7 linked regions of the Ovis aries genome follow. The protein of the gene in region 1 interacts with the protein of each later gene in a pairwise test. Links are inferred from orthologs where the notes say so. Each region holds a gene or a part of one and is shown on either strand. Other genes may lie near its edges. The genes, in order: FATE1, BNIP3, KCNS2, SLC38A1, NDUFB11, SEC22A and SLC7A1.

Region 1 (4,090 bases):
AGGAGGAGAAGGGGACAATAGAGGATGGGATGGTTGGATGGCATCACTGACTCAATGGACATGAGTTTGGGTAACCTTCAGGAGTTGGTGATGGACAGGGAGGCCTGGCGTGCTGTGGTTCATGGGGTCACAAAGAGTCGGACACGACTGAGCGACTGAACTGAACTGAACTGAATGCAACAACATGGCCACCATTTTCTCTACAACATTCCCTCATATGGTTAGTATAATTTTAAAAATTCATTACAGAGGAACAAAATGTAACTCGGCTGATTTTCTAGAACATCAGGTCTTCCTGCCTCTCCAGTCAATTTGCCTTCCCTCTACCTCCTATAACCTTTGCAACAGTAAAACAACCATGTTTCTAAAATTGCCAGCATCTGCAGCAAAAGTAGCTTACTTATCAGATGGGCTACAAAACATGAGACTCACATGATTGCCTGGAACACTCAGGTCTCCCTCCTCTCCAAAGGTGTTGCCCTTTCCCAGTAAACGTGCAGTGGTTTAACAACTATGTTTCTAAAATTTTCTGTCACCCAAGATGAATGTAGTTAAAAGAATTGGCTACAGAAGGATGATGGGATTCATGTGATTCCCAAGAAGAGTCAGGACTTTCTCTTCTCCAAAATGACTGCCTTTTCTCAGTATCTTTTGCAACAGTATAGCCACCATTTTTTCTAGAACATTCCCTCACTCATATAGAATGTAACTTAAAGGATTGGCTACAAAATGCTCAGATTCAATTGACTGGATTTCCTAGTAGCCAGAGAGCATAGGCATTTCACTTGCCTTACCCTAGTCCCAGCCCTAAGATAGATATAGATACATGTATATCTATATTTATATATGCTTAGAGATATATATACAACCCTGTATATTCATTGGAAGGATGGTTGCTGAAGCTACAGTACTTTGGCCATCTGATGCAAAGAGCCAACTCACTGGAAAAGACCCTGATGTTGGGAAAGATTAAACGGAAAAGGAGAAGGGGGCAGCAGAGGATTAGATGGTTAGATAGCATCACTGACTCAATTGACATTTATTAGAGCAAATTCTGGGAGATAGTGGAGGAGAGGGAAGCCTGGCATGCTGCAGTCCATGGGGATTCAAAAAGTCAGACATAACTTAGAGACTAAACAGCAACTATATATATATATATATATATATATATATATATATATATATATAATGATTTTTATACTTTTGCATATTTCTATATAGAAATATATATAGAGAGTAGACATAACATATAGATATATACATATATACATATAGAGATTCAAATATAGATATATTTACTAATTTATTAATAAAAGAAAGTAGATATGTACTCCACAAGCAATGTGTGTTTCAGACATTCTGGACCCTCAAGGTTGAACTAACAAAGAATGGCCATGATCTCTTGCCAGACCTTGTTGCCCTCATTTGCCTGCCCAGAACACAGGAGCTTTGTCCTTCCCCCAAAGTCAACATCTGCCCTGCTTGACCTACCATCTCCATACCAGAGCTGCTACAACTGTAGCAAACTCCCCCAAACTCAAGCTAGCCACCAAATGCCATACAGTACCACCTTCTTGGACTGGTTTGCAGCCATATTCCAAACCGCAGCAGAGCCAACAGCCTTTGGATCCACCTTCTGTCGCCGCTGAGAAGCACCCAGCAACCGAGATATATGCTCCTTCATTTCTAGGGAGAAGAACAGAGGCCCAAGGAATACCCATAGAGGCTATCCCAAGGTTTCATGGGCACAGAACACACCAAAAAATAGGATAGGGTCCCCCAACATCTTAGGAAGCACTCAACACCCATTCTCTGGCATCTACTGGCTAATCTCAGGTCTCAATTTCTTCATGTACTCAAAATATAGTAAGTGTTTACTGAGTGTCAAGCTCTGGGCTAGGTTCTTAAAGAGCAAGCAATGGCCAAGAAATAAGATCACAGCAATAAAAAATTGATTGTTTGTGTGTGTACAGAGAAAGTGGTAACGAGAGTGGGGGTTATAGGAAATAATCCATCAGTGCAAATCAAGAGATGCATGCTCCCAAAACAATAAAAACAGGATAACAAGACAGAAGGAAGGGGATACTTCTAGAAAAGTCAGAGACAACACTGAGGCAGAGACCTGAAAGAGAAAGAGTCCAGCCATAGAAAATCTGAGGAAAGAGGGAACACATAGTGAAAAGGCTGTGAAGAAGAAAGAGTCTTGGGATGTTACAGGACAGGCTTAAAGGCACTGTGGACTGAGTCAGCATGCCACAGCAGGAAGTATATTGAGGAGGTGACCTTATGTGGATCTTGTAGATCATGGAAAGGAGCTTTACTCTAAAGGGCAGAAGAAGGTACTGGAAGGTTAGGAGAGAGAATTGCTTTGAATGATCTTATAAATTGAACCCACTGAGTGTTTTGCATTAAGATCCACTGGTGGCTTGCAATGGGAGGGGTGTTCATCCAACCTTCCCCGTCACACGCTACAAAAGGCTCACTTTTATCAATCCCATTACCTCACACACAGGTACCCACAAATACATGCAAACACACATTCATGCTTCTGCCAAGCCAAACCTGCGCATTTTCTAACATGCATGCACAGGTGTAGATACCCAAGGGAAGGGACATTACGGGGGATCCTCACCTGCTGCCACTGAGCGCTCTTGGTTATCCCTAAAGCTTCCAAGAAGCAGGTCTTCATCCTTTGGCACTTGCATCTTTTCCTTGAGGTTAGGGACTGCTCCTCCTGCCATCACCACCAATTGTAAGCAATGGCCAAGAAGGCACAGGGTCCAAGGCTCGGAGGAGGCTTGGGAAATCAGCTCTCTGCGGAAGATATATCTGGACACAGGGGTGGAGCCAGACTCCCACTTTGAGTTCAAGCATTAGACCCAGCACCTCCTGTTCCTGCTGTATCTTGCTGGCTGGGTTCAAGGTCTTCTTCTCTGCTACTCTGTAAGCAACTTAGGAGAAGCGATAGACTCTGAATCTTTGCCTGGGAAAGCTGCCCTGGCTCTCAGCTCATCCGATTTGACCTCATTTCTAGATAGAGGGAGGGGCTGGCACAGGACTCCAGAGTTGGTCAGTGGCCAAAGCAGGTTTAGATCCCACCGTGGTTTCTGCAAGGCCAGCTTTGGTTAACAGTCCAGGCCATAGCCCCCTTCAGAAAGCATCCTCTACAGAGCACATCCTGCCTTACCCCATCCAGAATTCCCAGGCAAGGGACATGACTTTTGACACCCTGGATCATCCTGGACAGGAACCATGAAAACCAAAGGAGAGATGTGCAGAAGAGGGGCCTGCTTACTGGAGCCTCCAGTGTCCCCAGCCCTGCACCCCCTATTCTAAGTCAAATTTTCCCTCAGCTTCCCTACTGAATAGACCTCAGTGGTCATGTTTATGGTCCATGTGGCTAGCCTAAGGTCTCCAGTTATTCCATCACGTGCTGGTCTAGATGTTTCTATCAAGGCACTTTTTGTAGCTGTTGATGTCTATAATCAGTGGACTTTAAGTAAAGGACATTGTGTATCCTTGATACTGTGAATGGGCCTCATTCAATCAGCTGTAGGCCTTAAGAACAAAGACTGAGGTTTCCCAGAGAAGAAATTCTGCTCAAGACTACACCTCAACCCCTCCCTAACATTCCAACCTGCTGACTTGTCCTGCAAATTTTGGCCTTGCTAGCTCTATGATGGCATGAGCCAAATTCTTTAAATAAAATTTTCTTTACACACACATATATGCATAGTGAGTCAGTGGTAAAAAAAAATCCACCTGCCAGTTCAGGAAACCCAGATTTGATCCCTGGGTTGAGAAGATCCCTTGGAGAATGGAATGGCAACCCACTCCAGTATTCTTGTCTGGGAAATCCCATGGCCAGAGGAGCCTGGTGGGCTACAGTCCATGGGGTTGCAAAGAGTCAGATATGACTCAGTGAGTGAGTGCAACAATACATATACATACACATACATACCTCCTATTGGTTCCATTTCTCTGGAGAACTCTGACTCATACAGCCACCGAAGGTGAACCCTCAGCTCTTGGGAATAGCCTCAGAGCTCCTGAGGAAGAGGAGGCTATTTGTAAAGAAACCAAGCACAAT
Region 2 (3,500 bases), on another chromosome or scaffold:
CAGCATCCCTTCCCTCAAAATAGTGTCTAACGCGATCAAGGTCGCAGGTAATTCATTAAAATACTGCATACAACATAACTAGAGATTTTAAAATTATTTATACTTTGATATTTATAATATCTGAGGAAGGTTACTACCAAATTATTACAGTAGGTATTAATCAATGACATGCTTGTCACTCGATCCCCAAGTCTGGCTGCGGGAGAGCGTGGTTTACTGTCTGTCTCTCTGAGTTAGGGAGGCGGCGCTGCCAGAAGAAACGACGAGCGGGGCAGCAGCCCAGGACCGAGACAGCTGCTTCTGTGCGCTGTGCGGGGCACGGGCCCCCGCGGCGTGGGGACACTGGGCTACAGCCTGCATCAGAACGTGCTGGTGGACGTGGTCAGGCGCCTTCCGATGTAGATCCTGACAGAGAAAGGAGGCGGTCGTCACATGGCAGTGCGCCTCCCAGGGGCGCGCGCTGCTGAGACAGCAGCTGACCGGCCCAGCTCATTCACCGAAGGGGCCTGGCTGCCAGCACTCAGTGGACGCGTGGGCGTCACTCTTACCAGCACGCATTTCAGCATCCAACTCAGAAAAAGCCAGTTGTGTGCTAATAGCTTCGCAGCGCACACACTCGGCACACACGAAGGCCAGCTCCTCCTGAGCTGAGAGGCTCCCTGTCTCCTCACTTTCTGACCTGATCAGACAGTCGCCCACAGGACAGCTGACAGCCCCAGGTTTATCGGCACATCTCACAGAAACCACTGCTGCACGGGACGCCCCAGGGAGCCCAGAACGGAGGGGTGTCGGGGGGCTGTCCGGGAGGAGGGCGGGGGGGAGGACATCAAGGGCCTGCAGGCCAGTAGGGGGTCTCCGCAGAGCAACGGGACAGGAGGGCTTGATCCTGACCCCCGTGAAGTCTCAGAGAGCAGACACACCTGCAGAAATCCACCCCAAAGTGAAGGCTGAAGCCTGACCCCGCCAGGCCCTAGAGGACCTGAATGCTGGTTCTGGACAAAGCTCCCTGCAGGACTGACAGCCCGACTCAGAGGCACTGGCCCACACAGTCCACACGCTGTGCTAAGGGGAAGGCAGGGCAGAGCCCAGAGCGGGGGCAGGCCATGGGCCGGGGCTCAGGGGGACGGGTGGGGGCTCTGCTCCCGCCTCCCCAAGCCAGCGAGCCCGGCATCTGCTCTGCCCCGTTCTCGAGCCTGGGGGCCCAGCCCGCAACAGAAGCCCATCCTGACAGCCGGGGGCCCAGAAGGCTGCCCAGGAGAAGCCCGTCCACCCGCGTCAGGACCGGGGAGACCAGCACCCTCCACGTGCGAGCCTCCCCAGCCTGCGCCCGCGGCCGGCACGGGCGACACTCACCCCAGCCCGATGGCCAGCAGGTGGGACAGCAGCAGCGACGGCAGGAAGACCTTGAGGAACTCGGCGGAGAAGATGCCGCCCTTCTTCATGACGCTCGTGTTGCGCATGCTGAGCGTGGGGGCGCGCTTCGGGTGCCTCAAGAGCAGGAGCTCCCTGCGGGGAGAGGCGGTCAGCGGGCGCCGGCTCCCGGCCCCAGAGGCCCCCGCGGACGCAGACTCACTTGGCTGGGGGGATGTTCTCTGGCCGACTGGACCAATCCCAAATCCAGTCTGAGTTTTTCTTCAGGATGCTTTCGACCTCTTTCCTCCTCTCCATGTAGTCTTCCTCGGACTGCGGGAGACGAGGTCGGTGAACCCGCTGCCTCCACCCCAGGAAGCTCGCCGCCCCCCGCCACACCCCCTGTGGAGGGCCCGCCGGACTCCAGCGGCCCTGAGCTGCAGGCACTGCCCCAGGGGGGCACCGGCCAGTGGGGACAGACGTCCACAGAGACGCCGGCTGTGGTCCTGGGTGTAAAAGGAAAAACAGAAATCCCTGAAAAGGCCCGCAACAGGAATGTGCCTGAGCTGACGGCACACGGCTGCAGTGAGCAGGTGCACGTCCGCGTCTGGCAGAAGAGAGGACCAGAAGCCCACACACACCCCTGGTCTCAGTGACCTTAAAGATACACATTATTAACAGTACGCTAATTAAAGAGCTTTAAAAAGATGCATTTCTTAGAATTTTAAAAACTCTGTGCCTGATCATAGAATTCCTCTTTAAATTCAGGGGGGGAAATTATGGAAATATTCTAGAACACGGTACCAAAACCAACCAAACACCTGGACACAGCAAAGCTGGGCTGGACCCTGCACATCTGGGAGCAGGCAGGCAGCACCCTGGAGAAGCCCGAGCACAAGGACTGCTGAGCCCCTGGGGAGGGAGAGCCTGAGGGGCACCCGGCAGGCAGCACGGGGACCAGTGGCATCGGCCGGAAGCTCGGTCCCCACAGCTCTCACAGTGAGGAAGGGAGCGGGGCCTTTCCCTTCTCCAGGAGATCTTCCCGACCCAGGAGTGGAACCGGGGTCTCCTACACTGCAGGCGGATTCGTTACCAGCTGAGCCCCCAGGAAAGCAGGGGCCCCCAGGTTCCTAGATCCCGACACCCCCGAGCATCACAAGAGGCAGCAGGCAGGGAGACGGCCTGGCGAGGCCGCACTGGCCACTGGCCCAGCCCAGGTCTCAGCAAGGCAGCTCGGGCCACAGCCCACCCTGCTCTCATGGACTTCCCCCCAGCCGGGGCTACGGCCCCAGCAACTCAGAGATTCTTAAAGGAAAGTCAGAAAACGAGGCTCAGCCTCCACCAGTCTGGTCAGCTCCTAACCCGAACCACACAAGCGCGAGTCAGTGAAGCCCAAGGCACGGTTTCTGGAAGCAACTAGTGCCGTCCCAGTGGGGAGGCCCTGCGCAGGCCTCCAGACCCCCACGGGCCCCCACCTCTCCCGCCCCTCGTCCCCTGGAGGGCGTGTGGGGCAGAGGGGGCCCTGGGCACACACCCTGAACCAAATGGCCCGGCTGCCTCCGGTCCACTCTGTGAAGTGCTGGAGACGCCCCACCCCCACAGCTGAGACAGGGTCTGAGGAAGCAGAAGTCCTGCTCTTGGGCCAGGTCCCCCAGCACCCGGTTCCGACAGATCACAAAGGCAGACCGTGCGCACCCTACCTGGGAGCTGTTCTTCTCTCCGAGGCTGTGCGCGTCTGTCTCAGAAGCTCTGTTAGTGTCCTGCGGGGTCTGTGAGCGGGGCGGGCTTGGGGGAAACAGCACATGTCCACCTTCCCATCAGGACACACAGACCCCCACACACAGGGGACAGCGTCCCGGGAGAAGGAAGTACTCCCGCCAGCCCCGGGGGGGGGGCCAGGGCCCAACAGTCACAGCGGCCCCCTGACTTCCCAGATGAGCTCGACACCCAGCAGGCAGCAGCCAGACCCGGGGGGACCAGGGCCCAACAGTCACAGCGGCCCCCTGCCTTCCCAGCTGAGCTCGAGGCCCAGCAGGCAGAAGCAGGGGCAGGACCCCACGGGTGGTGTCCCCCGACCTGAGAGCAAAGGGCCCGCCGTCTGGGCGCTGACGGAGGCCAGGCAGGCCTGCGGAGCCACGCCGTGACGCGTG
Region 3 (4,086 bases), on another chromosome or scaffold:
GTCTGCTTAACTTCACATTCTCTTTGTTTGATATTAAAACTAAATGAAAGCAATGGATAAAGAATTGAGATTTTGTTTTCACCCGACTGTGAGCAAAACCTCATCCTATCCTTGCAGGCCCCACAGATGTGTTTCCACAGGACGTATTTGTGGGGGCTTTTTGTACGGAACGCACATGACAGCCTCAGAAACAGGAGCACAAACAACTCAGAGACAGTCCTGGGCCATGAGCACTAGATGAGAGAATACAATGAACGGAGAAATTAGCATTCTAGGTGGTACTCATCCGGCAGAAAGGTGAACATTTTATGCCCACGATGCGAAGACCAGTGAGTGTCATTTCACTGAAAGGTGCAAAGGCATGGTGTCAGACACACCACCCTCTAAAAATGATCCTAAATACTGTAGAAGCAACCTGGGGTGCAGATCCCATGCATTTTCTCCCCTTTGGGGCTGGGCATACTCCTCACGCCATAACCCTAGGATACCTGAACCGTGCCAGAGGCACAAGAGACAGCTCAGCAATGTGGGTTTGAGGATGTCAAGCCCTCCCAGCTAATGTAGGGAATCATTTAAACTTAGTTCACTTGGCGAGCTCCTGCTCATGTTCGTCAGGCTCGCCATGAGGGATTTAACTTTATGGGCATAATAGTCCCTTAAATTGACGGAAGGGACCTCCTTCATTCCATCTCCGAAGTCACAGCTGCGCATAGCACTCTCAAGTTGCTTCTGGCGCCGATAAAAGTGGGAGAATTTATTGAAGATCAAGGTGATGGGTAGTACCACCACCAGGATACCTGCCAGGATGCAGGCAGAGGCGGTCAGCTTCCCTGCTGTGGTCCCCGGGACCACATCCCCGTACCCTACGGTAGTCATACTAACGGTGGCCCACCACCAGCAGGCGGGGATGGTGGCCAGGCCCTCGTTCTCCTCCTTTTCGATGGTATAGGCCACTACGGAAAAGATGGAAATCCCCACAGAGAGGTAGAGCAGAAGCAGCCCTACTTCCTTGTAGCTATATTTCAGGGTGGCCCCCAGGGAGCGGAGGCCAGTGGAGTGTCTGGCCAGCTTTAAGATGCGGAAAATCCGCATCAGCCTTAGGACCTGGGCCACCCTGCCCAAGTTGGCCAAGGTAGGCGTGCTCTCCACGACCAGGTTCACCACCAGCGTGATGTAAAAGGGGACGATGGACATGAGGTCGATCAGGTTTAGGGCGTTCTTGAAGAACTTGAGGAAGTCGGGGGCCACGGCGAACCTCGCCACCAGCTCAAAGGTGAACCAGGCAATGCCAAAGTGCTCCACAATTTCGAACCTGGGGTCCTCGCCCGGGTTGCCCTGGCTGTCAGGGATCTGGAAGTCTGGCAGGCTATTGAGACACATGGTGATGATGGACCCCAGCACCACGAGGATGGACAGGACACTGAAGACCCTGCTCAGGACCGAGTAGCCGGGGTTGTCCAGCGCCAGCCACAGCTGTCTGCGAAAGTTGCCCAGGGGCTGCCCATCGAACTTGGAGGCGTCGTTGTAGAAGGCCAGGATCTCGTCGAAGGAGGACGTGGTGCTCTCCTGCTCGCTCTGCTCGTCCCACTTCTCCTGCTCGGGCTCCACTTTGCGGCCGTGGTAGCTGTAGCTACAGCAGGAGTCGATGAAGAACTCGTTGATGCCCCAGTATTCAATCTCCTGGCTGAAGGAGAAGACGCACAGCTCTGCCATGACGTGAAGCTTGCCGGTGTGGTAGAAGTGCAGCACGTAGGGGAAGAGCTCGGGGTTGCGGTCAAAGTAGAACTCGCGCTGGGCATCGTCGTAGTCGTCGCAGAGCTCCAGAATGGCCTCGCGCGAGTGGCAGAGCAGCAGGCGGCCCAGGCGCGTTTCGGGGAAGCGCAGCAGCGTGTGCGAGCGCAACCGCTTCTTGAAGCCGCCCACGTTGATGCGGATCTCTCCATCCTCGACGTTGGCCTCCGACACGTCCCACAGGCTCTGGCCAGTCATGCTGGAGACGCCGGCCGCCCGCGCCGCGCGGGGGCGCTACACCTGGAAGCCAAAGCAAGCGCGTCGGGTGAGCGCCCGGCGCTCAGGGCTCGGGCACCCCTTCCCTTCTCCCCACCCGTCTCTAGCGCGCCCGGTCCTCTCCAGCGGGTCTCTGAGTACTGAAGGACACTGGGATGGGAGGACCGTTCTCTGGGCTTTGCCTCCCCGCCTCCCAAAGAAAGGCTTGGAGTTGGGGAGGGCGGGTTGTGCTTCCACTAGCATGGCCGCGCCCGCACCCTCATCCTGGGGGTTCTGTCGGTCGCTTTCCGCTGCCCGGGGTCGCACCCCAGCGGCTCCGCGAGCTGCGAGCTGACCTTGCCCGTGGGCGGGCCGAGGAGACGCCCCCGCCCTCTCGCCGCAGACAGGCGGGACCAGAGCTGGGATGCGCACCGGCAGGGCTGGGCCGAGATGGGGGGGCGCGTAGCATCGGGAGGGGGCGGCGGGGAAATCCACCTCTCGAGTCCTTAACCCCAGGACAGGGTAAGGGGGCCGGCCCGGCGCCGCCGGAGTCCAGCCCCCCAAGACTGAAGCCCCCCTCGTCCTCCGCCCCGGGCTTCCCCCGCCCGCCTGGCGCCGTGCCCCGGAGCCGCGTGCGCCGCGCCTTACCCGGCGGAGCTACCCCGGCTCGCCCTGCGCGTTCTGGAAGCGCTTACCTGCGAGCTCTGGGGCCCGCGGCCGAGGCCGGCGGGAAACTTCCCCGACCTGCCGGCGAGCATCGCTGCGGCCGCCGCTGCCGGCTGGCTGTGCGTGTGCGCGAGGGTGCTCTGAGTGTGTGTGCGCCTGTGTGTGCGCCCGGCGGGCGGGCGGGGTCCGCCGAGCGCCTCCTGTCTCCGGCCGGAGAGGCCGCCGCCGTCCGCAGTTGCGGGAGGCTCACAGGTGGCTGCGTGGCCCCGACGCTAGCAGAGCCCCCCCCCCTTTAGATCCGCGCGCCCCTCGGCACCGAGGAGAGACAACCACGCGCGCCGCAGCCCGCGGGAGCCGGAGCGGGAGCCGAGCCCGTGCGCCTCTGCGCGGGCCCTGCTCTGGGGCGCGGCGCGGTGGTGCTGAACGGACAGCTCCGCGCCTCCCAGCTCCCCGCGAGGCCGCCGCCCGGACTCCAGAGAGGCCACCGCCTCGGCGTCGCGGAGACCCCTTGGCGCCCGCGGCTCGAGGCCGAGCCGACACCTTTCCCGATCACTCACCTACCTCCCCTGATGACAGGCTGTTATGACCACCCTCTTGCTCCCAGGGCGCAGGCAGGGGGCTGCCTACGGTGACCTTTCCCTACTTGAGTCTCTCGGGCGGAGCCGACCTGGGGAATGACCGGCGACTTGCATCCGTCCGAGGGGGAAGGGCGGGACGTGAGGAACTCCAGGTTTCCCCCTTTCAGGGACCTGCTGAAAAGTTTCCTGAGGCTGCGGGGGAAGCGGGGTGGTGAGGAAAGGAATGAGAGAAGAGGGGGGAGAAGCGGGGGGCACAGAAACCCAAGGTCGAGCTCAGCCTAGCTTGCTGGGGCCGGCAGCGCAGGCCCTACCGGCGTGGGAGGGAGTCACGGAGTTCTGTTTGGGAGCTCTGTGTGGGCACTGTGTGTGTGCAGGCCGACGTGGTGTGCCAGCTTCGGAGGATGGCTGGGAACTGTGTGTGTCGGTGTGTATAGACTGAGGAAAGTAGGGCTTTGCACGGTCTGCGCAGCGTTAATTAAAAATAGGACCTCTGGGGTAGTGGGGGAAATGTGTACAGTGTGTCAGAACAGGGGAAGCCGGGGCTTGTCATTGTGATGTGTGCACACAATGGCAGACTGTAAGCTGTGTGTACAGCGTGCTGTATACAGCATAGTATTCCGTGGGGCTGTGACCGGGTCCGAGTGCCGAATGAAACGCGAAACGTGTGTATGTGGACACCACCGGGAGTTGGCGGGTGTGGATCCAGCATAGATGTGCGCAGTACCCATGTCTGCATTCCCCAGGAGACCAGTGGCCCCGATTTGAGCTCTTGGTCTCCTACGGTTGTTCCTCAAAGCACTGCCGCTGTGTTAGAGCTGAGAAATGGACCCACAGTCCCTGGGGAGCCCCCCTCCCC
Region 4 (3,500 bases), on another chromosome or scaffold:
CATATTGAAGCAAAGCTCCACCTGCTGCTGAACAATCAGGTGTTTTATTCTTAATTAACACACAGTGTCATGAGTGTAGCACTCTACTCTTTCTCACTTTCAAAATCTGTCTCTGTCTCTCTTTTCTATTAATGGAAAATGACCCAGTTCACAACAGCAATTAGGAAAGCCTTCTCTGATATAGTTCTAAACCTTCCTTAGTAAAGGTGACATGCTTATAAAATGCATTTTTTTTTAAGGACAGTATTAGGAGAAAAAATTATGGCATGTTGTTTCAGTAATTATTCTATTGCATAGTCAGCATGAATATGTAAAGGAACCATAGCCATTTGCTTTAAGCAGAAGAAAAGATCAGTAAAATCAATGGATAGATTTGTTGCTTTTGGGGGTTATCACACTGAAATATCAGTACATATTTTGATACTGATTTATAATAATTTACTTACTAATACCTATATTTAGGTACCGACAGAAGGTACTTACCATAGAATGTCAAGTAGCCAAAAATGGCAGTCAAGAAATACATAACAAACATGGCGAAAAAGGAGATATTTGAAACCATCTGCATCTTTTTCTGTGATCGACTAAAAACAAAGAAAAAGAAATTTGAGAAATTAAAAACCGTGTTATTGAATGTAAGCACAAATATTAACCCTGAAGAATGGAACTTAACATTCTTTCTATCAGGCTTGGGCTGATTTGAGCTGCTGTAATTACCCCCAGTAATTATACCAAATATGCCAGTTTCCAATAACCTTCTTTACACTGATTGGGTATTGTGAGAGAAAGAGCCGTGGAACAAACAATCCCTTGAATGTTCTTCCCCATTCTTCTGAAAGAATACTGCGTTCTCATCTGAAGGGCAGAGTGTATTTTTTTAACATTTGTTTGATACTATCTCCACACTCAGGATGCACAGGAAAAAGGCAGAATAAGTTCCAATGCTGTTTTCTTGGCTCCAGAGATCAGGCGCTGAGCTAGAATTTGACTTTGCGAGTTTTGTCATTAAAGCTGCTATTTAAGGTCTGATTTTCCCACCGAATAGCCTCAGGGAGGGTGTCCCAGGTGGCTCAGTGGGTAAAGAATTCACCTGCAGTGCAGGAGATACTGGTTCCATCCCGGGGTCAGGAAGATCCCCCGGAGGAGGGCATGGCCATCCGCTCCAGTATTCTTGTCTGGAAAAATCCCACAGACAGAGGAGCCTGGCAGACTGCAGCCCACGGGGACGCAAGGAGTCAGACAGGACTGAAGTGACTAAGCACGCACGCACTCACACAGCCTCAGGGAAGCCTGTATGTCTCCACAGCAATTGGTGCCCAAGAACTCACAGCTGGGATAAGGAAAGCCTCTCTCTCTCTTAGGTTAAGTTGATCTTGGGAGTTGGCATGAACCTCTAAGTTTCTTTAGCTGCCTAAACAATTAATCTCCAAGACTTGTACTCAAAGAGTAGGCCACCAAGAAGCACGGCATTTGACTATGTCATAACAGGAAGTATGGAAAACAAGACAAACTGAGAAGTACCCACATAAGAAAACTACAAACTAAAAGCAGGACTATGACGTTTAAAAGATGCCTAAGAAACCTTAAATATAAGATCATAAAGCAGGACTAATGTATGCAAAGATAGGCAGATATAAATACTTCAAAACTTAGTCATAAATCAATTTAAAATGAAAGAGGAACTATCATGAGTGAATTCAACCCTGAATAACATCATCTTTCTTTCAAAATGGAAACAGATAACTATACTGTTAATCTTTTCTGAGCTTAAGACTATGCCATGATGCCTATTTCAAGAAACAAGAAAAATGTCAAACAATCTACCCTGACACCTACAGAAACTAGAAAAAGAAGAACAAAGTCCAAAGTCAGTATAAGAAAGGAAATAAAAATGAGTGGAAATAAATAAAATAGAAACTAAAAATAAAAAGACAATAGAAAGGGTCAATGAAACTAAGAACTGATTTTTTGAAAAGACAAAATTGACAAACCTTTAGCCAGGCTTACAAAGAAAAAAAGACAGAAGGCCCCGATAAATAAAATCAGACACAGAAGAGACTAAGTACCAACAAACACCATCGAAATACAAGGGACGAGTATTATGAAAGTTATACACCAACACACTGGGCAACCCAGAAGAAATGGACAAATGCTTAGAATCATATAACCTTTCAAGACTGAGGCATGAAGAGACAGAAAATATGAACAGACCCATCACTAGTATAGAGATTGAAGCAGTCAGCAAAAACCTCCGGAAAAACAGAAGTCCAGGACCAGAGGGCTTCACTGGTGAATTGTACCAAACAGTCGAAGATTTAATACCTATCCTTCTCAAACTCTTCCAGAAATCTGAAGAGGAGGGAATGGTTCATAACATATTATGAGGCCAACATCTTTGTGATACCAAAACCAGACAAAGACAACACAAAGAAGGAAAATTGCTGGCTAATATCTCTGATGAATATAGATGCAAAAACCCTCAACAAAATATCAGCAATGACAAACCCACAGCAAACATCACTCTAAATGATGAAAAATGGAAGTTATCCCTCTAAAATGAGGAAGAGGACAAGGATGCCCACTCTTACCACTCTTATTCAATCTAATAGCAGAAGTCCTAGCCAGAGCAATTAGGGAAGAAAAAAAAAAATAAAAAGCATCCAAGTTGGAAAGAATAAAGTAAAACTGTCACTATTTACAGGTGACATCATTTTATATACTGAAAACCCTGAAGACTCTACCAAAAAACTATTAGTGATAATAAACAAGTACAGTAAAGTTGCAAGGTACAAAGTCATACAAAAATCTGCCATGTTTCTATATGCGAACAGTGAGATAACAGAGAAATTAAGAAAACAATTCATTTACAAGTGCAGCAAAAAGAATAAAATATCTAGGAATAAATTTACAAGGATGTAGCTACAGAGAATAGAGCATTGGTTACCAGCAGGGAAGGGGTAGAGGGAGGGCAAAATGGGGAAAGGAGATCCAGTGTATGGTGATGGATGGGAACTATATTTTTGTGAGCAGGACACAGTGTGTATGGAAGTAGAAATATCAGGTTGTACACATGAAACCTATGTAAGTTGTAAACCAGTTATCTCAAAAAAAGAGACTATGACATGATAAATATTTTTATGTAGAAAGTCTGATAACAGTAGGCCAAGAAGAGAACCCATGAGGGAATTCATAAGCAGTCCTTTCATTCTCTTAGAAGAGCAATCAAAAACTAACCCATAATCACTGCAACAGTTTAAAGTGAACAACAATATTCTTCTGTCCAGTTTGTGGTCTTAACGTTCATTCCTTCATGCCTGATTTACCAACCTTTTCCAACTAAACCAAAAGGCAAATCATATACAATGTATTCAGTGGTTCACAGATGAATCTGAAGATGACCATTATTCATCTGCAAACTAATCACAAGTAATATAAAGCAACACAAACACTTGAACTCTCTTAAGTAACACAGTATTTGAAAAACCAAATTAATAAGAAAA
Region 5 (3,991 bases), about 26 Mb from region 1:
AGCCCAGCTCTGAGCCACCACCCTCAATCCCTGGTCACCCTGGCCCTTCTTCCAACATAAGCAGTCCCAGTATGGTAGCTTTTTTTCTAAAGATGGCTGCTGTCCATTTCTTCCCATGTGCCACACCTCTATGCAGAGGAGGCCTGAGCCACCGTACAAAAGACCCAGGCTATTCTGCTGGAGAGAGAAGCCACACAGAAGACTCAAGTACCAAACATGGAAATAAAGAGGCCATCTTGGATGTTCAACCCAGTTGAGCCTTCCAGTGATTCCAGCCCCAGCCACTATCTGACTGCAACCACCCAAATCTTCAAGAAGGACTACCTCGTTGAGCCCAGTCAACCATAGGACCATGAAACATAATACTAAATTGTGTTAAGCCACCAAGTTTTAGGGTGTTTGTCACATGGCAACAGATAACCAGAATACCCAGAAAAGGCACCCCTACTCTGACACCCCCACTCCCACATCCTTCTCACAACAGAAGCAACACCAGCCAGTCACACTTTCAGTCCCTTTAATTAGGGGCTCTGAGGAGAGGGCAGAATGGCAGGCAGGGTAGAGAAGGTGGTGCTTCTTATGCCCCTTTTGGCAACCAGTTAGTCCTCATCCTCTGGCAGCTGGATCTTGCTGGGGTCGAAGCAGTTGGATTCCATGAGGGGGAGGCCATGGGCCTCTCGGTATTTCACAAGCCTCTCAGCTTCCCGGCGGGCCCACTCCTGCATCCTGGAGGCAGCAGCATGAGGGAAGATGTGAGGGAGCCTCAGTGGACATCAATCCCCATCTTAGTTCCCCAGGGAATGGACTCCTGGCAGTCTCCTACAGTATCCACCCCTGCCTCTGTCCCCACCCATCCCACTCTCTTGGACACCCCACACACCTGTAGTCAGGCAGATAAGCCACAAAGGTGCTGCCAAGGACCAAGACGATGGAGAATCCGAAGAAGAAGACAACTCGCATGTTCCAGACGTCCACAGCAGGGTCCTTGTCATAACCGTGGGAATCTGGGTTCTATGGCAGAGAGAAGTCAACGAGGGCTTCCTGCTGCTCCACAGAGCCTGATGCTGGTCCTGTATAACTTGGTCTCCAACTTCACCCTGAACCAATCTCTCCTCCCTCCCTAAATTCCTGTCTGTTCTTAGGACTTGTCAAGCTCCTTGCCACTACAGAGCCTTTGCACTTGCTGTTCCTTCTGTCTGGAAAGCCTTTCCCCCAGATTTAGTCGGGGCTGGATCTGTCTCCTTATTCAAGCTGTCGGCTTCATCTTCATTCCCCTTAGGAGGCACTCCCTAGTCACCTTATCTGTTAAGTTGACCTATAGGAAATTGACATTTTTACAGGTCAAAAATGATTGATATTGGCTATTTCCTATTTCTTCAACCTCATAACTTCCTATCCCTATAACTCTCCATCCACTTATCTTATTTAACTTTCTTTCAAGCATTTATTTGTTTACCAAAGTATCATATCCTTCAAATACTCTGATCACATTATATTATTGGTTGCATACCCTATCTTACTGTTTTCTAATATTTTACATGTTTATTTTCTATATTCTCCAGTACCACATAAGCTCTATGAAAGCAAGGGCTTTATCTGATTTCTATATTGCTGAATTTATAGCACATTGAACTTAGCCTGGCATACAGCAGGCCCTCAATGCATAGCTACAGAATGCATGAATGAGTATCCTATATATCCAAGCCCCTCAACAAGGGGTCAGTATGGATGAAGCATCTATTATATGCCAGGCCTTTTCACAAGCACAAATTGCACAATAACCCACTGAGGTGGAAAGTGGCAAAACAAACAAACAAACAAACTTCTAATGGTGAGTATTTGTACTAAGTGCCAGCTGCCGTTTTGAGCATTTTGACTCATTTAAATACCGGAGGCACATATAGTATTTTATTCTTTTAGAAAATGTCCTAATACTTTCCCTATCTTACAAAGAAACTGAAGCATCAAGGGCTTAAGCTACTTGCCCAAGGTCAATGCCTGTATTCCAACTATGGCATTCTGATTTCAGTCCACTATCAGATAGCACAGCAAACCTAGTTCTGCCACACATTCAGTTATGTGAGCTTAGGCAAGTCACTTAACATCTTTATGCTTCAGTTTCCTCATCTGTAGAATGGGTACACCAAAACCACCTACCTCGAAATATGGTTATTATGAGAACTAAATGAGTTAATGTATGTAAAGTGCTTCAAACACCTGAGCAAGCACCACACCAGTGTTTAGTAACATTGTTATTCTATATTGCTTCAAACGTGCTTTGAACATTGCCCACTTCAGGTTTGATGTCTGTCTGCAAAATAAGGCCAATCTCTGACCCTGAACCCGTACAAAGGAGGAAACAAGCTAGGCAGAATTTCCAAATCTTCGAAGATTTCGCCAGCTGCGCAATTCCCAGCCGACTAAGACCGTCCTCTACGGCGCCCTATCCGCCGGTCCCCGATTGACCCTTCCGGCGTCCCGTTTCCCCTCCCTCTCACCTTCTCATAGAGGTTTTCGTCCTCGGGTTCTGGGTCCTCCTGCCAGCGTAAAGTCGGTTCTGACGGCCGCTTTCCCGCCAGAGTGGACGGGGCGATCACAGCCCTGGAGGAGCTAGATTCCCAGCGAACACTGGCAGCCGGGAGCCCTCGCGTCGCCGCTACTGCCAAAAGGCGGCGGCCGCACAAACCCAACATCCCCGCCGCCATAACAGATCGTTCTGCAAGCTCTCGGGGTCGGGGACGGAAGTGTGACTCCGCGCAGCTGCAGTTGTTCTAAGCGCGAGAGTTGTCGCTCCGCCCCCGCCGCACGAAATAGGTCCCGAATCAGGACTTTGCTTTCGAACGGGTGAGAGGTTCTTTTTGCCTCACTCTGTCATGACTTCAGGGAATCAACCACCCTCTTATCCTCTCAGTCAGACTATGGAACTTCTGACCGCTAGGCTCTGGAATTTACTTAACGAAAAGAAAGCAATGACACATGCGTGGATGTTCCCAACCAATCGCGCGGAGAGCTGCCTCGCCCTCCGGCGAAAGGGGCGGAGCTTCCGTTGGTCTTTCATCTTCGAAGGAAGCCAAGCTTCTAAAACGCCAGCCTCGCCGGATTGGCCAATAGCTGCCGCTTTTCTCGACTTGCGGGCGTTCGCAAGGGGTGGCAATATGCTTGCCAATCAGAATAGGCCAGGGATGACCGAGGGCTGACAGCGACCAATAGACGGGGTTGGCCAGAGCGCGCTCCCTTAGTAGGTGGATGGTGGTCGAAGCGCCGGCTCCTTTCTCATCGTCGCCATTTTGTGTTGGTGATCGCGGCCGGCTGGGAGTAGGCGACAGTGGGTTTCCCGGGGAGGGCAGCGCTCCTGGCGCTTTTCCCCTCCCCTCCTCCGCCCTTTTGCCTCCAGCCTCGGACTTGCTAGTTGCGCGGACCGGCTCGGGCAGAGCTGGAAGAGTTGGAGGAGGTGGCGGCGGGCCGAGGTGATGTCCGGGAGCCCTCCCTTGACAGCCCGGGCGCAGAAGGTGAGAGTCGACGCTGGTCGTGGGGGTGGAGGTAAGGGGCCGGGGGTGGAGGGGGTTGCATAGAGGACCCACGAGGGCGGACTGTGGTCGATGGGTCTGGGCTTCGCGCAGAACCGACCGATGCTTTGCACATTGTGAGCCTGGGAGAGGGTGTCTTTTTTTTATTGTTTTTTGTTTTTCTCCTTTTGAGAGCAGAGGCGCGTGCGCGATTGGGGCACTGGATGGGTGCACGCGGCTTGGGGGAAGGGAGGGACGGATGGGAGTGGGCTCCTATGGCTCACTGTGTCTGCGACGCCGAACTTTTTCCGTGGGAGGCCGCTGTCTGCGACTTTTCTTTTTAGCCGAAAAAGTGTGCTCTCTGCTTTCGTGTGTGACTTTGGTACTAACCAACCCATGGGGAAGTGTTCTGTGGCTCTGGTCCTTATTCTTGGGTGGAGGAGAAGGGAGATCGTCGATCTGACTCGGGTCTCTATCCTCGGAAC
Region 6 (3,500 bases), on another chromosome or scaffold:
GCTTCTACATTCATGTACTTGCTTTAAAATTTTAGAATAAATTAATTCATTTTTTAAGAGCCCCTCAGTTCTTAGAAAATACTTTTTTAATGAAGTAATTGAGATCCAGAACTCACCAGAAGAAATCTTACCAGCACCTTTATAGTCAACAGAAAATGCAGATGTGACTCCATTGGCTGACCCCAGCTCACCCATGGAAATTTGATAAGGGGGCCTCAGCTTGATTTCCATCTGCATGTCAGACAGATTTATCTTTGTTGAAAGAGATCTGGGATTATTATATCGCTGCTTGGTCCTCTGAATGAAGTTATCTATGTAAAATAAAAAATAAATTTCCTTGCAGTCATTTGTTAATTAAATCATTTGAAAGTGTGATGTTTACAGACAGTAAATTTGGTGATAAACAGTTTGTTATCCTAAATGTTCAACCTGTCATGGAATGCCCTAATATTATTTGTGTTTAATATATCATGGCATCATCAGTTTTTCTCACTAGAAATTATACTCTAGAAACTAGTAATTATAACTAAACTAAGGATTTAATATCACATGATTGTGAGAATACTTCTACAATTATATCCACTTCAAGGAATTACTCTGAACCTCTTAAAAAAAAATGAAAACAGCTCCCTTTAAATTTAAACCAAAGCTTTAATTTGTACAGGGATTCAGATCTCATAAAATATTATCTGTAAGTATTACCAGTTGTAATTACATTAAAACATACACTGTAAATTGCATGTTCATATAAACCTGTTTTCTTATTTATTGCTTATACCATTAGAACATATGCTTTAAAGAACAAATTTAATGAAATCAATAAAAGACATTTCCTAAATTTCTCCCAATTTTATTTCCACTATTTGCACCTTGAATTTACCCTTTTTCCCCCTTCTGCATCAGGAGTCAAGCAAACTAATGTCCACAGGCCAAATCTAGCCTGTTGATTCTATTTGTGAACAAAATGTTACTGGAATATAACTATACTCATTCATTTATGCACTGCCTATGGCTGTTTTCAAGCCATAATAGCAAGGACTGAGACTGAGAAAATAATCCTTAAAGCCTAAAATTGTACTATCTGGTCCTTTCCAATAAACGTTTGTCAACTTCTGTTCTATATTAAGCAGCCTAAAAATACTATCACATAAACACAAAGCTCTGAATCTGTAGCTTATAAATTTCTCACTGAGAAATTATCCTCTGGGATTAATTCTTTGAGCCAATAATCACGATCCTCTAGAGAGTTCAAAGAGAACCTTTTCTAATAGGCATCCAAGTGAAGAAGTTGCCATAATTTATAGACTGTCGAACTATTCTGTCAAAAGAAAGTTAGTAGAATTTTTTGAGTTTTCTCTCTGTCCCTTAGTATTAGATGAAAAGTCATTTATGACTGAATAGAGACATGAAAAGGGAGAAAAAAAAAATCAGGCCCTTACCAAATTCAATGAAACAGTACGGTCTGACAGCAGTATTTGTCTTCATCATGTTATAAGTAGTAATGAACTCCTTCTGAAGCTCATCCAGGAAAGAGAAGGCCAGAACATTTGGGTAATTTTCAGTGCACAACATCATGTAGCTCACTCCCATAGAGCTAATAAAACTACAGTGTAGAAAACATCGGATTTAAAATTTCAAATTAAATCAAGGTAATCCATTACTTCACAAGACTGGCTCTATACACCATACACTGCTGCTACAGAGGCATTGATGATATTAACACTTATTAAATATTTTGGCAAAAAATTAAAGGAATTGAAATCAGTTGCAGTTTAAAAACAATAGACAAAAAAGTGAATGTATCCACTTTGCTGTATAGCAGAAACTAACACAACATTGTAAATCAACTACATTCAAACTAAGATTCATTTTTAAACAGTGGAGAGGGACATATACTGTGATTCGAATGTTTCAGTTACTTATCATTTGGGGTAGAAAGCAGGAAAGACTATGCAAATAGATAAGAGTCACAGATAGCTTAACATTTCAATCCTTCAACCTAGAGGAATTCAACACTGAGGTTCTGATGAAAGTTATGGACACTCTTTGCAGAAACAACACAGAATTTGGCTAACAGTCTCAAGGTGATTACTGACCTCCTAAAGTTATCCACTGACTCCAAAATCAAATCCTCTACTTCACAAAATGAATTATGTATCATTGGGGGAAAAAGAGAATTTAGGAGTTCATAACAACAAATAAAAGGGAAGAAAGGAAGACTCATTCATAGCAGAATGCTGAATACCACCTGGTAAATGTGGAGACAGTGGTAGAACTGGGAAACTTAGCACTTTGCAGCCTACACAGTAAAGAATGAATCCATTTATAAACAGTGGGTGCTAAATCTAGGTAGGTACTTTGGTAAGGAGCAGGAAATCGTGCATGGCTTTAAAATGTCTTCTCATGGATTGCTTATTGGCTGCAGGGGAATTCTACTGTATTTATAAAACAGTAGAAACTAGACAACACCTTAACCAGGTACTCTAATATCACTAAAGAGGGACAGATGGCCTTCCCATGCCTCCAGATGTGATCCTTGGTAAGACATATCAGTTCTGGCTGAGAATGCATAATCTGAATCTAATCACGAAGGAACACCAGAGTAATCAACGTTCTATTTTCTTTAAAAGGGTATGGGGTGGGGAGCTGTATTCTTTAGAAATCTCAAAGTTGTAAAAAAAAAAAGAAAGAAAGAAAGGCTTTGGAAACATTTCTGATCACAGGAGGTTAAAGAGACACAACTAAATGCAATACCTAACCCAGTCTGGATCCTGTGTTACAGAAGGGGAAAATTCTATAGAGGATATTCCTTGGTCAACTGACAAAAACAGAAAACAGGCGGTACGGTAGTTTAGGTAAAGGTATAGTATCAATATTAAATATACTAGATCTGATAACCATACTATAATTAAGTATAGGAATATCTCTAACCTTAGAAAATACACTCTGAAGTAGTTAGGAATAAAAGGGTATGGTATTTTTGTTTCTCTCAAATGGTTTAGACAAAAATAAATCAGATAGATAAAACAATAAAGTAAATGGGGTAAAATGTTAACAAAATGTGACTCTGGGTTCAAGTAATATTTGTAATTTTCATACTTGTGCAACTTTTCTGAAAGTTTGAAATCATTTCTAAATAAGTTAAAATTTAAAAACAAAAATGTTTAACCATCTTCTATTGGAAAAAAAATTTCTAAAACAAAGTATACATTGCCCTATAACGTGCATAGGATGGGACAGAAATTGATAGTTTTCAACGAGTCATTAAATGTTCTTGCATAGTACTGTCAACATCGTTCTGGTCTAGCTCAAGGGAAGCAAACAGAGCATACAGGCTATAACCTTGCCACTCCCATGCCAGACACTGCTAATCTGTCACAGCAGTTTTTCCTACCGAACCCTGATCTACATCAGAGTCTCTCTCTCTCCCTTTTTCTCTGCTATTATAGAAGCAGAATTTATTAATATCACTTTAAATTTAACTTTTAAAATATTCACAT
Region 7 (3,500 bases), on another chromosome or scaffold:
TCTGACCAAATAAAGAAAAAGCAAACCCTTGGTCTGGTGATACAAGAACTTTACAGTGGCTTTAAAGACTGTAGTTTCATCTCCCTTAATCAGCACAGGAAGGAAATTAAGGCCAGTCTTCAGTACGATCACATTACATGTGAATATTGGAGGAAAAAAAGAAAAAACACTCACTATTTCCAGTTCCTTAATCCCTTAAACACATGGGTCACATACTGACACACGGTGTCCCTTAACCTGCCCACAGCGATCATGCTCGAGAATGCAGACTCATACAGCACACGTGTGAAATAAGAAAAACTGGCTTCCTTTCGTTAAACAACATTGACCCATAAAAGTAAGCACATTTTGCTAAGGGTGTGAATGCTGTTAACAATTCACTCATCAAGAGGGTCAAACGCCTCCCCTGTGGCTATCTGACAAGTCCCTGTGATCCAGCTGTGGCTGGCACGTGTCCTCATTCACCACAGAGACCTCCTGCTCCACACATGGGCTGGGAGGGCCCAGCCAGCCTGGCCCCAAGACAAACCAGGAACCGAGAACCACTGCTGTCCTCCCTGGGCGTGCATCCTCACTTCCCCCTTCTGAGCCTCCGCCTCTCCTCTGTGCACCTGCCTCTGGGCGGTGAAACGCGACTCAAAGAGGAAACAAAACCAAGGGTCTCTTTCCAGGGCTGCCCTGCCTTTCAAGGTGCACACAGAGGCCCAAGGGTTCCCCAGCCCGCCGCTCCCTTCTGTCCTCTTGGCGAGGGACCTGATAGCGATCCGTCAGCTCCACCTCCTCTCTCCTGCCATTTGTTGTTCATAGGCTCAGGGCGGAGGGCTACCCCAGACACACCCTCAGTGTCCCCTGGGGAAGAGGTGGCATGTTTTATAAAACGCTGATCGTAAGGGATTCTCGCTTCCTAGAGAATTCACGAGCTAAGACACACGGACGGTGAATTTCCAGCACCGACAAGACAGGGGATATACTGTGAAGGACTTTACCCCACCAAGGTCTACTCAGGGACACCTGGGGAAGGGGCAAGACACAGCTCTGAAGGGACAGTGTACATGCCGAGCTCAGTCCAGTGAGACGGTAATCACTGGAAAATGCGACCTGTTTGAGAATTCCATTACATCCTCTGAGAAACTAGCATTTGCCTTTTGTCAAAAGGCACTCAGTTACCTTGCGACAAACCAGACTCCAAGGGTAAAAACCAAACGTTAGAAAGACCAGTCGCAACTTCTCTCAGACGGGCACAGGCCAAGACATTGCCTTAGGGAGTAATAACTCAGCCGTTAAAATGCTGGATAGGAGATTCCAGTTCTTACCGGCAATGGCACCCGAGGTTAAGGTGGCGATTATCGGTGTTTTGGTCCTGTCATTGATTTTGGCCAAAAATTTAAACAGCAGCCCGTCTTCAGCCATGGCATAGATGACTCGAGGCATGGGAAACATGGAACCTAAAAGACTAGATGGGAGGAAAAGCGAACTGCGTCCGTAAGAGAGCTTGGGAGAATAAAGGCATCGCAACAGGTGTTCACACCCAGGAGAGGGAGCCGGCTCCAACCTGGGAGGCCCGCGGCGCGACACGCCGGGCCCGGGGGAGCGCTTGCAGCAAGTCTGCACGTGTGTGTGAGTGGGAAACGCCTAGCGTAAACCAGCGTGGCATCTAGACACAGTGCTATGGAAGAGATGTTCTGCGTTTATTCCCGCGATTATCTCCAGCTGAATCAAAAAGAAAAACGTCACTGCCTTCATGAAGATCTCCCTGAAGTCCACAGCGGTTTCCTGTGTGTACAGGCTAGCAGGGAGCATGAGAGCAAAGTGACTCTCATTAAAAGGCGTTTGCGGCACTTGCTCCTTTTCAATGGTAGCCTCTGCTTTATGGCCAAAATAAGGGCCAGAGGCAGTGCTCACAGAGGTGGCCTGGTCTGGCCAGTGGCCACAGTCAGGGACAAGAGACGCAGCCCTTGCTGAGCCGACAATGATGAAATGTGGGCCTCAGGCTATTGAGATGAACGTCCCTAACGCAAAGACAGCCCCAGGGATTGATCGAGAGCAGCCCAAGGGGAGAAGTCCCACGATCGGGGCTGGGTTGGGCTCTACTTCAAGGGGAGAGAGGAGTGGTCACGGCACACCCGCCTTCCCGAGCGTCTCTGCCCCTCACCTGGTAGACAGGGCGCAGAGGGAGCCAACGGCCACCGCATACTTGGCTCCCTCCCAGCCCACGTGCTTGAAGGCGTCTGGCAGGGGGCTGTCCTTGTCCAGGCAGAAGTAAGGCATCATGAGGGTGAGGGCGGCCGACACCCCGAAATAGGCGATGAAGCAGATGAGCAGGGACGCGACGATGCCCACGGGGATGGCCTTCTGTGGGTTCTTCACCTCCTCCCCTGCAAGGCGGGAGGAGTTCAGCCGGAGGGCTTGAGACCACCCTGCAGCTCATGGCCCTGCAGGGCCAGGGCCCTTCCAGGCTCCGGGGAACCCAGGGGAGAGGCCCTCAGACCAGACACAATACCCAAGGGCCCAGGGAAGGTGCTCTCAGCCTTTTCGCTGAGAGTCATCGTGGAAAAGAGAACACACTGGAGGCTGGAGCCCGGCCCCCTCGAGTGCCCGGACAAAGTCGGACTAGGTAGCCACACTCCCCCGGAGCGCACATGGGGTCTGCCGCCAGCTGCAGCCACGGTGCCATCACCCCGGGCCCACACGGGACAGGCAGGCAAGTTCCTGTCGGGCAGGCCACTTGGGGAGCAATGAAAGGGGGATTGGCAGGAAGGTGCAAACCCACACTCGGGCACTCAGGAGCAAATGGGCAGCGGCAGGCATGCACACACCCGGGGGAGGGGAATCAGACGCCTGGCCAGGCGAGCCCAGGTGTCCCGAGGGCGGTGGACCTACCTGTGGTGGCGATGCAGTCAAAGCCCACGAAGGCATAGAAGCAGGTGGCTGCCCCCGACAGGACACCGGAGAACCCGAAGGGCATGAACCCACCGACACCGGGTTTCCCTTCCTCTGTGTCACTGAAAGAGAGAGCCTCCGTCAGGGTCACAGGCCCCTGCTTCGTGGGCCTGAAGAGGAGCCACCCTGACGGCCACCCCGAGCAGCTAGGCCCAGTCCTGCAGCGTCCCCCGTCCGGCAGGACAGCGGCCCCGGGGCTGTGGGCAGACGTAACTCCAGGACCCCACTGGTGGCCAAGGGGCCAGGAAACAAACACCTCTCTGGCCAGAGGCCAGCGCGGGTCATCACCGCAGGGATGCAGAGCACGGGGATGGCCAGCGACAGGAAATCCCATCAGCTGGCAGAAACAGTCTCTTCAAAACAGCATGAATGCCCTGTGTCATGCACCAAACTGGGACAACCCTGAGGGGTGGCATGGGGAAGGAGGTGGATCCAGGATGGATGGGAGAAACACACACACCCGTGGCTGATTCATGTCAGTGTATGGCAAAAAAGACTACAGTACTGTAAAGTAATTAGCCTCCAAATAAAATAAATAAAAAAAAAAAAAAAAAAAAACC

Evidence for each region.
Region 2: the proteins of FATE1 (region 1) and BNIP3 interact in binary tests that used the Homo sapiens proteins (3 or more experiments, as listed by UniProt). The two-hybrid records come from large-scale screens. The link is inferred for Ovis aries from reciprocal best matches to the Homo sapiens genes FATE1 and BNIP3.
Region 3: the proteins of FATE1 (region 1) and KCNS2 interact in binary tests that used the Homo sapiens proteins (3 or more experiments, as listed by UniProt). The two-hybrid records come from large-scale screens. The link is inferred for Ovis aries from reciprocal best matches to the Homo sapiens genes FATE1 and KCNS2.
Region 4: the proteins of FATE1 (region 1) and SLC38A1 interact in binary tests that used the Homo sapiens proteins (3 or more experiments, as listed by UniProt). The two-hybrid records come from large-scale screens. The link is inferred for Ovis aries from reciprocal best matches to the Homo sapiens genes FATE1 and SLC38A1.
Region 5: the proteins of FATE1 (region 1) and NDUFB11 interact in binary tests that used the Homo sapiens proteins (3 or more experiments, as listed by UniProt). The two-hybrid records come from large-scale screens. The link is inferred for Ovis aries from reciprocal best matches to the Homo sapiens genes FATE1 and NDUFB11.
Region 6: the proteins of FATE1 (region 1) and SEC22A interact in binary tests that used the Homo sapiens proteins (3 or more experiments, as listed by UniProt). The two-hybrid records come from large-scale screens. The link is inferred for Ovis aries from reciprocal best matches to the Homo sapiens genes FATE1 and SEC22A.
Region 7: the proteins of FATE1 (region 1) and SLC7A1 interact in binary tests that used the Homo sapiens proteins (3 or more experiments, as listed by UniProt). The two-hybrid records come from large-scale screens. The link is inferred for Ovis aries from reciprocal best matches to the Homo sapiens genes FATE1 and SLC7A1.

The regions. Positions count from the first base shown.
Region 1 is NC_056080.1:84,015,895-84,019,984, forward strand, and holds the start of FATE1 (fetal and adult testis-expressed transcript protein), read right to left. Parts: upstream 2,801-4,090; 5' UTR 2,742-2,800; coding exon 2,633-2,741; intron 1,687-2,632; coding exon 1,571-1,686; intron 1-1,570. UniProt on the Homo sapiens protein: Involved in the regulation of endoplasmic reticulum (ER)-mitochondria coupling. Negatively regulates the ER-mitochondria distance and Ca(2+) transfer from ER to mitochondria possibly implicating it in the regulation of apoptosis.
Region 2 is NC_056075.1:50,240,391-50,243,890, forward strand, and holds part of BNIP3 (BCL2/adenovirus E1B 19 kDa protein-interacting protein 3), read right to left. Parts: intron 3,136-3,500; coding exon 3,051-3,135; intron 1,684-3,050; coding exon 1,574-1,683; intron 1,507-1,573; coding exon 1,354-1,506; intron 406-1,353; coding exon 360-405; 3' UTR 1-359. UniProt on the Homo sapiens protein: Apoptosis-inducing protein that can overcome BCL2 suppression. May play a role in repartitioning calcium between the two major intracellular calcium stores in association with BCL2.
Region 3 is NC_056062.1:78,729,947-78,734,032, forward strand, and holds the start of KCNS2 (potassium voltage-gated channel subfamily S member 2), read right to left. Parts: upstream 2,801-4,086; 5' UTR 1,990-2,800; coding exon 556-1,989; 3' UTR 1-555. UniProt on the Homo sapiens protein: Potassium channel regulatory subunit that modulate the delayed rectifier voltage-gated potassium channel activity of KCNB1 and KCNB2 by altering their kinetics, expression levels, and shifting the half-inactivation potential to more polarized values.
Region 4 is NC_056056.1:140,259,054-140,262,553, reverse strand, and holds part of SLC38A1 (sodium-coupled neutral amino acid symporter 1), read right to left. Parts: intron 585-3,500; coding exon 484-584; intron 1-483. UniProt on the Homo sapiens protein: Symporter that cotransports short-chain neutral amino acids and sodium ions from the extraccellular to the intracellular side of the cell membrane. The transport is elctrogenic, pH dependent and driven by the Na(+) electrochemical gradient.
Region 5 is NC_056080.1:57,659,142-57,663,132, reverse strand, and holds NDUFB11 (NADH dehydrogenase [ubiquinone] 1 beta subcomplex subunit 11, mitochondrial), read right to left. Parts: upstream 2,719-3,991; 5' UTR 2,706-2,718; coding exon 2,499-2,705; intron 1,012-2,498; coding exon 881-1,011; intron 727-880; coding exon 600-726; 3' UTR 501-599; downstream 1-500. Other genes in the region: RBM10 (RNA-binding protein 10), read left to right, coding at 3,471-3,540. UniProt on the Homo sapiens protein: Accessory subunit of the mitochondrial membrane respiratory chain NADH dehydrogenase (Complex I), that is believed not to be involved in catalysis. Complex I functions in the transfer of electrons from NADH to the respiratory chain.
Region 6 is NC_056054.1:188,442,778-188,446,277, reverse strand, and holds part of SEC22A (vesicle-trafficking protein SEC22a), read right to left. Parts: intron 1,604-3,500; coding exon 1,440-1,603; intron 312-1,439; coding exon 117-311; intron 1-116. UniProt on the Homo sapiens protein: May be involved in vesicle transport between the ER and the Golgi complex.
Region 7 is NC_056063.1:31,276,558-31,280,057, reverse strand, and holds part of SLC7A1 (high affinity cationic amino acid transporter 1), read right to left. Parts: intron 3,003-3,500; coding exon 2,881-3,002; intron 2,376-2,880; coding exon 2,153-2,375; intron 1,454-2,152; coding exon 1,314-1,453; intron 1-1,313. UniProt on the Homo sapiens protein: High-affinity, low capacity permease involved in the transport of the cationic amino acids (arginine, lysine and ornithine) in non-hepatic tissues.